Linked DNA regions of Coturnix japonica. The protein of the gene in region 1 purifies or fractionates together with the protein of each later gene. This does not show direct contact. Links are inferred from orthologs where the notes say so. Each region holds a gene or a part of one and is shown on either strand. Other genes may lie near its edges. The genes, in order: ASXL2 and OGT.

Evidence for each region.
Region 2: the proteins of ASXL2 (region 1) and OGT purify together in Homo sapiens (affinity purification with mass spectrometry; 3 studies listed by BioGRID and IntAct, with this or other methods). This does not show direct contact. The link is inferred for Coturnix japonica from reciprocal best matches to the Homo sapiens genes ASXL2 and OGT.

Annotation. Positions count from the first base shown.
Region 1 is NC_029518.1:95,657,747-95,661,561, reverse strand, and holds part of ASXL2 (putative Polycomb group protein ASXL2), read left to right. Parts: intron 1-233; coding exon 234-339; intron 340-1,006; coding exon 1,007-1,712; intron 1,713-3,232; coding exon 3,233-3,815.
Region 2 is NC_029519.1:2,145,869-2,149,683, reverse strand, and holds part of OGT (UDP-N-acetylglucosamine--peptide N-acetylglucosaminyltransferase 110 kDa subunit), read left to right. Parts: intron 1-1,341; coding exon 1,342-1,494; intron 1,495-1,824; coding exon 1,825-2,077; intron 2,078-2,236; coding exon 2,237-2,360; intron 2,361-2,907; coding exon 2,908-3,082; 3' UTR 3,083-3,815. UniProt on the Homo sapiens protein: Catalyzes the transfer of a single N-acetylglucosamine from UDP-GlcNAc to a serine or threonine residue in cytoplasmic and nuclear proteins resulting in their modification with a beta-linked N-acetylglucosamine (O-GlcNAc).

The DNA.
Region 1 (3,815 bases):
CACTCAGCAAGGATTTATTTCTTGCCCGCATGGCTCAACTGCCTAAATAAAACCCCAGAATTTGTGAACAAGCAGAGATCAATAGGTGTCATTCACATCGACTTAAGTAAAGCTTTTTGGCTCAGCTGCCTAGGGGGTGGTGGAATCACCGTCCCTGGAGCTGTTCTGGAACCAATGGGGATGTGGCACTGAGGGACATGGGCTGTGTACATGACCCTTCCTGCATTTTGCAGGTGAGTTCACACCAGAAATGCAGCTAAGAATACGTCAAGAGATAGAAAAGGAAAAGAAGGTTGAGCTGTGGAAGGAACACTTCTTTGAGAGCTACTATGGCCAAAGGTAAGGAACTTCAGCATCTTTTTTACCTCCTCACTGCCTCACTGGGCACACTTAGTCCTGTGGATTTCATGTGCTGCCCACCAGTACACCATTACCTTTCATCAGCCCTCAACAAGGTCTAGCTTCATTAGATTCCCGACTTGTTCATTTCTTTTGTAAATAAAGATGAATGAACAGGACAGGCAGTCTTGGTTCTAAGCTGAGGGTCGGTCCATCGGTGGTTCTGCTGCTGGCCAAAACTGGGAGATGTTTTTCAGGAGCCTGGAGTCCCTTTCAGGAAGTGTCACCATATGAGCTGAATCTAGATGTGGGCTGTGTGAGGCACTTTGCATATGGCAGAGATAGGCCTGCAGGGACGAGGAAAGGAAATGTTTACTGTTGGCCAAATTCTTTTGGTTTGCAGCTTGGAAAGGGAGTATTTGGGCAGAGGCCTCGATCTAATGCGTGCTCACGTACTTTGTTTAGTTGGTTTTAAACACTGCTATCAAGTTCTGTTTCATTTGGAAGCAATAACAGCAGTGAAGGATTTCAAAGATCGTGGCATCAAATCAGTACGAGTTCTGTTTACTTTGGGTATGGCATTTAGGCAGCCCTCTTTGTGTTTGTAAGAATAGCGTGCTTTGTGCAAGGATGTTTCACAAAACAAAAATTCTGCTTTTCTTGTTAGTTCTGGATTAAGTCCCGAAGAGTCTGAGAGACTGACAGCCAACACCAGCGCTGATGATAGAGAGGCTGAAAAGCCAGCGGCAGAACAGCCAAAATGCATGCCAGTCAAAGAAGAGATGACTTCTCCATCGGAGTTTAAAGCACAAGTGGTCCATGAAGCACCTGCGGTGAAAAAAGGAGAGGAGAAAAGAGGAGAGGAGGGGAGAGAAGAGATGCAGCCCAAAGCAGCCAAACCTGCCGAGGCCTCAGCTTCCCCAGCTGGGTGTGCAGCAAAGCCCAGTGACCCCCAAATCCAAGAGAGAATCCAAGCAGAACCCATCCAAGAGAAACCACAGCCTGCTGTGAGCCAAAAGCTGGAAGAAGAGAGGAAGCACACTGCATCAAAGGAAGTGAAGGAGGCTGCACGTGCCCCGGTCTTGGCCCCAAGCAAACCAAAGAGCCCTGAAGCAGGTGAAGCAGTGGCAAAGGTGACAAGTCCAGTGGTCGCCCCACCAACGCCAGAAAAGAAACCCCCTGTAAATGAAGAAATGGAGGTCAGTGTCGAAGGCCATAAGAGGAAGTCAGAGAGCAGTGAAGGAGCTTCGACTACACCTGAGAAGAAGCCTCGCATTGCGGAGAAGTGCCAGCAGCAGCAGCCAGCATTTCGCAGCCAAACGCAGTCCTTTCCTCCTGCCGGGCCCCCCGTGCCACGCGTGCCCCCACTCAAGGTAAGGAGAAAGGAAGGCAGATGCACAGAATGGGTTCATGTTGGTCAGTGCTTCTGGGTCAGCTCAGTTCTGGTTCTGCATGCAAGTTATGTTGCCTGCTTATTGCTGTGACGGAAATGTTTGATCCAAAAATGCTGTTTGCTAAAGGGAATTGAATTCAGTGAAGTCTCCTGGACACACACATCTGCTATGAGACCTGCTTAACCAGAAGCTCCAGCAATTACAGGACTGAAATCACAAAGGGAGCTGCAGCTCAAGAACACAAGGAACTTTGTAGGTGTAGTCCCATTGGTAAAAGAACAGGTCTAGAAAGAATGCTGCCAGCAGTTTGCTCTACAATATCAAGCTCAGGAAGTAAATTATTTGCCTGTGTTAAAAATAAATCCAAAAATGATGCGGTTATCATTAGTACTGAATGCAGTGAAGTATCAGAGGACTATTTTAGGGAACATCTCAATTCCAAAAGCCTTTTATCTGCTGAATCTTAGCAGGAATCTACATATAAAAAGATGACATGGTCTTGAGTGGTCACAGGCGTGGACTGATGGTTGGAATAGATCATCTTATTGGTCTTTCAAACCTTTATGATTTCATGATTCTGTGAATTAAGCAATAGATTCACAGAAAGGAAAACAGAAGCAAAGCTTGAGAGTGACAGAAGGGTTCCAGGCTTTGGCCTGAACAGCGCTCTTCTCTCATACTTCAGACATAGGCCACAAGAAACACACCTGCGATTGAGCTTCCAGGAAATTCCCAGCTCAGCTGCCTTGTTCGGGGCCTTAGGCAGAAACTGTGCATGGAAAATGATTCAATTGCTCTATTTCTGTATGTTCTGAGAATTCTAATCTCTTATTAAGATTAGAAGGTAACTGGGAGTCAGCGAAGTATTGTGAATGTATGAAAACAAATGTGACTTCAAGGGATACAAGCTTAAGTCGCTACAGATAAGAGAAAAGCACTACTATGAGTGCACTGATCTCATCATTTCCATTTTAGGAAGAAGGGGGGATCACACAAAGTAAACTGCAAAGGTGAGGGGAGTGGAGAACGTATGTTCGAAGACAGGACTAAAATTTGGCATTTTATGTGAAGATGCACAGTAGAGTATTATTAGTTCATAAAAGGACACCAAGGAGTGAAATGACATGCAGGAGTAGAAGAGCAATTCACAGATGTACAAATGGATGTGGGTTGCTTACATGTAATTTTAAGCACAAAACCTACACTAAGGGGGTGAGAGGTGTTGAGTTTTGTTCACTTTTGAGGGAGCTCAGTAGGCTTTGTAGTGATGGGGTGTGCTGGAACAGTGGGCACCTCAAGGGAAGAGCTTCCAGCCTGAGTTAACGAGGTGATTACAGACCCAAAATAGGTGTGCCAGACATCAAAAGGATGTGGACCTTCTTCTTTGTATTCTTCTCAAATGAGAAGTTAGAACTCCGAAAGCATTTATCTAAACTGTCTTTAATGATGTGGGTCAAACATTCCCTGTATATCAATTCCACTTTTCTCCTCTCTTACAGATTCCTGTTTCCCGAATCTCCCCCATGCCATTTCCTGCGGGCCAGGTCTCTCCCAGGGTACGTTTCCCAGCCTCACTCATCAGTCCAGCCAGAACAGGCGCCAGAACCTTGGCGGACATCAAGGCCAAAGCCCAGCAGGTCAGGGCTCAGAGGGCAGCGGCCGCCGCAGCCGCCGCAGCCGCTTCTTCGGGGGGAGCAGTTCCAGGGCCGGGCCCCGGTGGGGGCCCAGCGGGCGGTGGAGGGACAGGCAACGCAGCGACGAGCGGAGCTGGTGAAACTGGAACACGAGGAAACGCACTGGAACTGGCAGGAACTGGAAGCGGGGGAAGTTCGAGAAGGTTTCTTCCACGCTGCCCAGGGACCCATTCCCCAATGGAGACCCAGGAGCAGCCAGCAGCCCCCAGTCTTTCTAGAGCACAACTACAGCAAACTTCCACGTTGCAATCCAGAAGTGCAGCTGGCAATACAGGTACCAGCTGCTCCTCCCCAGTGGCATCAGCGATAGAGCAAGTCAGCAGAATCAAACAGAGCCCCCCAAACATGGCTATAAATCAGGATTCGGGCTCCTCATGTGCTGGTGGCT
Region 2 (3,815 bases), on another chromosome or scaffold:
TCCATCTGTTAATTTGGGTGAATTAAAAAATACCCTGGCTCTGTAACTTTTAAGTCTCTTTTGTGATCTGAAGTTTGTGGAACTTCCCTATGAATTTCTAGGGGACTATTTTTTATCACTGGAGACCTTTTTATTATTACTGCTCTATCCATAACCTCATGCTTTGGTTTCTTTTAATGAATTTTTTGGTGCCCAGCTTAGACTTCCTTCTGAGTTGGCAATAGGCTTCATCTTAGTTTGATCAGTAATCTTATTGGCTTTCTTTCCTGGAAATGCTGTGCCCTGAAATAGCAGGGAGTTTCTTGTCTTAATCACTCCACCACCAAGAGAACCAATCTAAGCTGCATTGGTGCCCTTTTAAAATGTGGTTTGATCTCTTGTGAGATTTTGACCTCTTTTGATCATACTAAGATAACCCTTCTTTGTATGTGTTGTAATGTGGGGTATTGGTACTATTAATGTGCATTGTGGTTGAGGTTTTTGGTGTTATGGGTCAGTAGCACTCTTACCTATTTCTTTTGAACTAAATTATCTTGTTTATCTTCATGTCTTTACAGTTTCAACATACTGGCTCCATGTTCTAACAGAGTCAGTGACAGTGAGTCATTCCCATGAATGTCAAGTTTGTCAACAGTACATTTATTTTGGCTGGCAGCAGTGGCAGTGAGATAAACTTTAAATATATATATATATATATATGTATGTAAAACATTAAATTTAAAACAGACAGAGGCTGTAAGTACCTGTTTTGCCATATCTGTAAGGACGTTTCCTTCTGACCATTGCCTATTGCTTAAAAACAAACAGAAAATAGCCTACAAAAGTCCGTCATTCTGACTTTGAATTATACTTCCATTTTACTAATCCTCAAGACTAAGAATACTAAAAGAAAAAACCCATCCACCCCAACCCCCAAAACAAACAAAAAGAAATCCCTTTGCTTTCTAAATACTGTTCTCTTCTTCCTTCAAGCCTTGCTCTCATTTTTAGTTTCGAGGCAGTGAGGTGACCTTAAGGAGGGGAGTGCTCCTTAAATGCCTCTTCTTTCTAATGACCTGGAATTGCAGGGAGACGTAGCCAGGGCATGAAAATGCCCAGTGTTTTGTTCCTTGGTGGTTGTAGCATCGTGGTATCCACAAGCATGTACACACACCACTTAAATTCTTGTTCTGGGTAAGTAGACAATGTAGTCTTTGTATAAGAAGTGAAAGATAAGCTTTGAGTAACTTCTGATGCCAGCACGTGTTGCAGTATGTATGTCAGGAATGTTCCATAGGGCATAAGCACGTTTTCTTTATTTTCAGCATTCCAATGGCTTTATTTTTTTTTTTCTTTATTTAGATTAACAACAAAGCAGCAACTGGAGAAGAAGTTCCACGAACCATCATTGTTACCACCCGTTCTCAGTATGGCTTACCAGAAGATGCTGTTGTATACTGCAACTTCAATCAACTCTATAAGATTGACCCTTCCACGCTGCAGATGTGGGCTAATGTGAGTATCTGTGGATCTGGAAACTAAGATCGAACCTCTGGTCTACAGTGGTATTAATTTATTCAGAAGTGCGTTGCAGTGAATGAATGAGATCGTGGATTTCAAGACTTACTTTTCAAGTGCTGCTCCATACTCGCTCAGAATTGTTTCTTTTTCAGCAGCATTAGGAATTCAGTACTATTGTGGTCTTGTTTTTTGCTCTGTGCTCCAAGAGAGAAAGTACTGAGTGACGAACGCTTTTAACTTCATCTTGTTACATCATGACCTCTTGTTATCCAAATAAGGAAAGCTTTCTAACGTAACTGTTTTTGTCTTGATTTTTTGTTACAGATCCTAAAAAGAGTTCCAAACAGTGTGTTGTGGCTGCTGCGTTTCCCAGCCGTAGGAGAGCCCAATATTCAGCAGTATGCCCAAAACCTGGGTCTTTCCCAGAACAGAATCATCTTTTCTCCTGTTGCCCCCAAGGAAGAGCATGTGAGGAGAGGGCAGCTGGCTGATGTTTGTCTAGATACTCCACTGTGCAATGGGCACACGACGGGGATGGATGTGCTCTGGGCTGGGACTCCTATGGTCACCATGCCAGGTAACGCTGTGGGAAACCTGGATGGAGTGGGTGAATTTGATACCGTTATTGTAACCATAACAGGGAGTGGGTCTGGCAGACTTCCTCATTTCCTCTAGAGAAACAGGTCTGCACTCTGTAGCGTGTTACTTGGTAACTCCTATTTGTGTGCCTTTACAGGTGAAACGCTTGCGTCACGAGTCGCTGCCTCCCAGCTTACTTGCCTTGGTTGTCTTGAGCTTATTGCAAAAAGTAGGCAGGAATATGAGGATATTGCTGTGAAACTGGGAACTGATCTGGAATAGTAAGTAAACTTGCACTTTGTAGCTTGTTAGATCAAGAATGAAAGTGCTGTGGTGGGTCACAGTGTTGAGTTTATCAGTAGTTGTGCGTATTAGCCTAATGTTGGAAATAGGACAGTTCTCATCTTGAGGTGTTGTAGAGTCTTGCAGTTAACTCTGCTTCTGTTTTTGCAGTAAATGTAACAGGGCTCCAGTAACGTGGCTGCTGTTGTGAAGGAATTGCTCAAGTACAGGCTCTTGTCTGATTAAAAACTGCACCATATTTCACTTTTAGTTCTTGTAGGTTGAATTTGAAACAGTTGTAGGTTAAAACTGTGCAGTAATACAGAGCAGAATAGTTCATGTGACAACTGAATGTCACAGCTGTTCTGCTGAGATAATGCTGGTTGTATCAGAAACGAAGAGGGAGTGAAACAGCCACATGAACTTGGTGTGGAAGTTGCCGTTTTTGTACTGGCAGTTCTGGGTCTGCTGAAACCCATTTTAAAAGCAAACAGCACTGAGAAGTGTTGGGAAGCGTTTGTGACTGCCTTCAACTTATTTTTGCAGCCTGAAAAAAATACGTGGCAAAGTCTGGAAGCAGAGAATATCCAGCCCTTTGTTCAACACCAAGCAGTACACCATGGACCTGGAGAGGCTTTACCTTCAGATGTGGGATCACTATGCTGCTGGCAACAAACCGGACCACATGATCAAGCCAGTGGAAACCAGTGAATCTGCATGAAGAGACTTGTCTGTGTGCCCAGCCAGACCTGTCCAGGAACTCAGCCTCTCTAACACTTGTGCAGAGACGATGAGCTAAAAACTGTGCATTTCTACTTAATCTGCCTGGTACTCTGTGGCTGAAATGATACACGATGGTAATTAGAGCACAGCCGGACCGTATTTCTTGCATGATAGGGGAAGACTCTATAGAGCCTGGGATCCTTTTATTCCATGAGGAATTGGAACGGGATTGAGCCGTGTACATGTGAGCCTCTATGTGTGAGAGGAGAGGTTGGTGGGGGAAGTTTGAACTGCCCAACCAATTACGATCCCTTGGATTTGATGCAATCTTCTGACGCGTTTGTCTCCTTATAGATTGGGAATTGGAGCCTCTTAACGATTGATTTGGGGTACTCCTGGTGGTATACGTGTGCTTCTCCCATGGCAAGATTTCCAGCTAGCGAGTGTTGCTCCCTGCATTCATTTCTAGACTGTGCGGACTGAAGGGCATATTTGCTGGTGTAGTCTTTTTTTATAGGTTTTATAAACCACTCGAGCCTATATCAGCCTTTTAATGTTTGACCTCTGTTTTGGAGCTCTGTAACGTGTTGGTTTAGATAAGGACTTTTTTTGTTCCGTTTTTGTTTTTAAGCTTCTCCAATAACAGCTGATTGGCATCACGATGGCAGCTCCTATTCTGTTAGAAAACCAAATTTGATCGGAAAACGAATCCTCCCCCAAAAGCGTTTGAG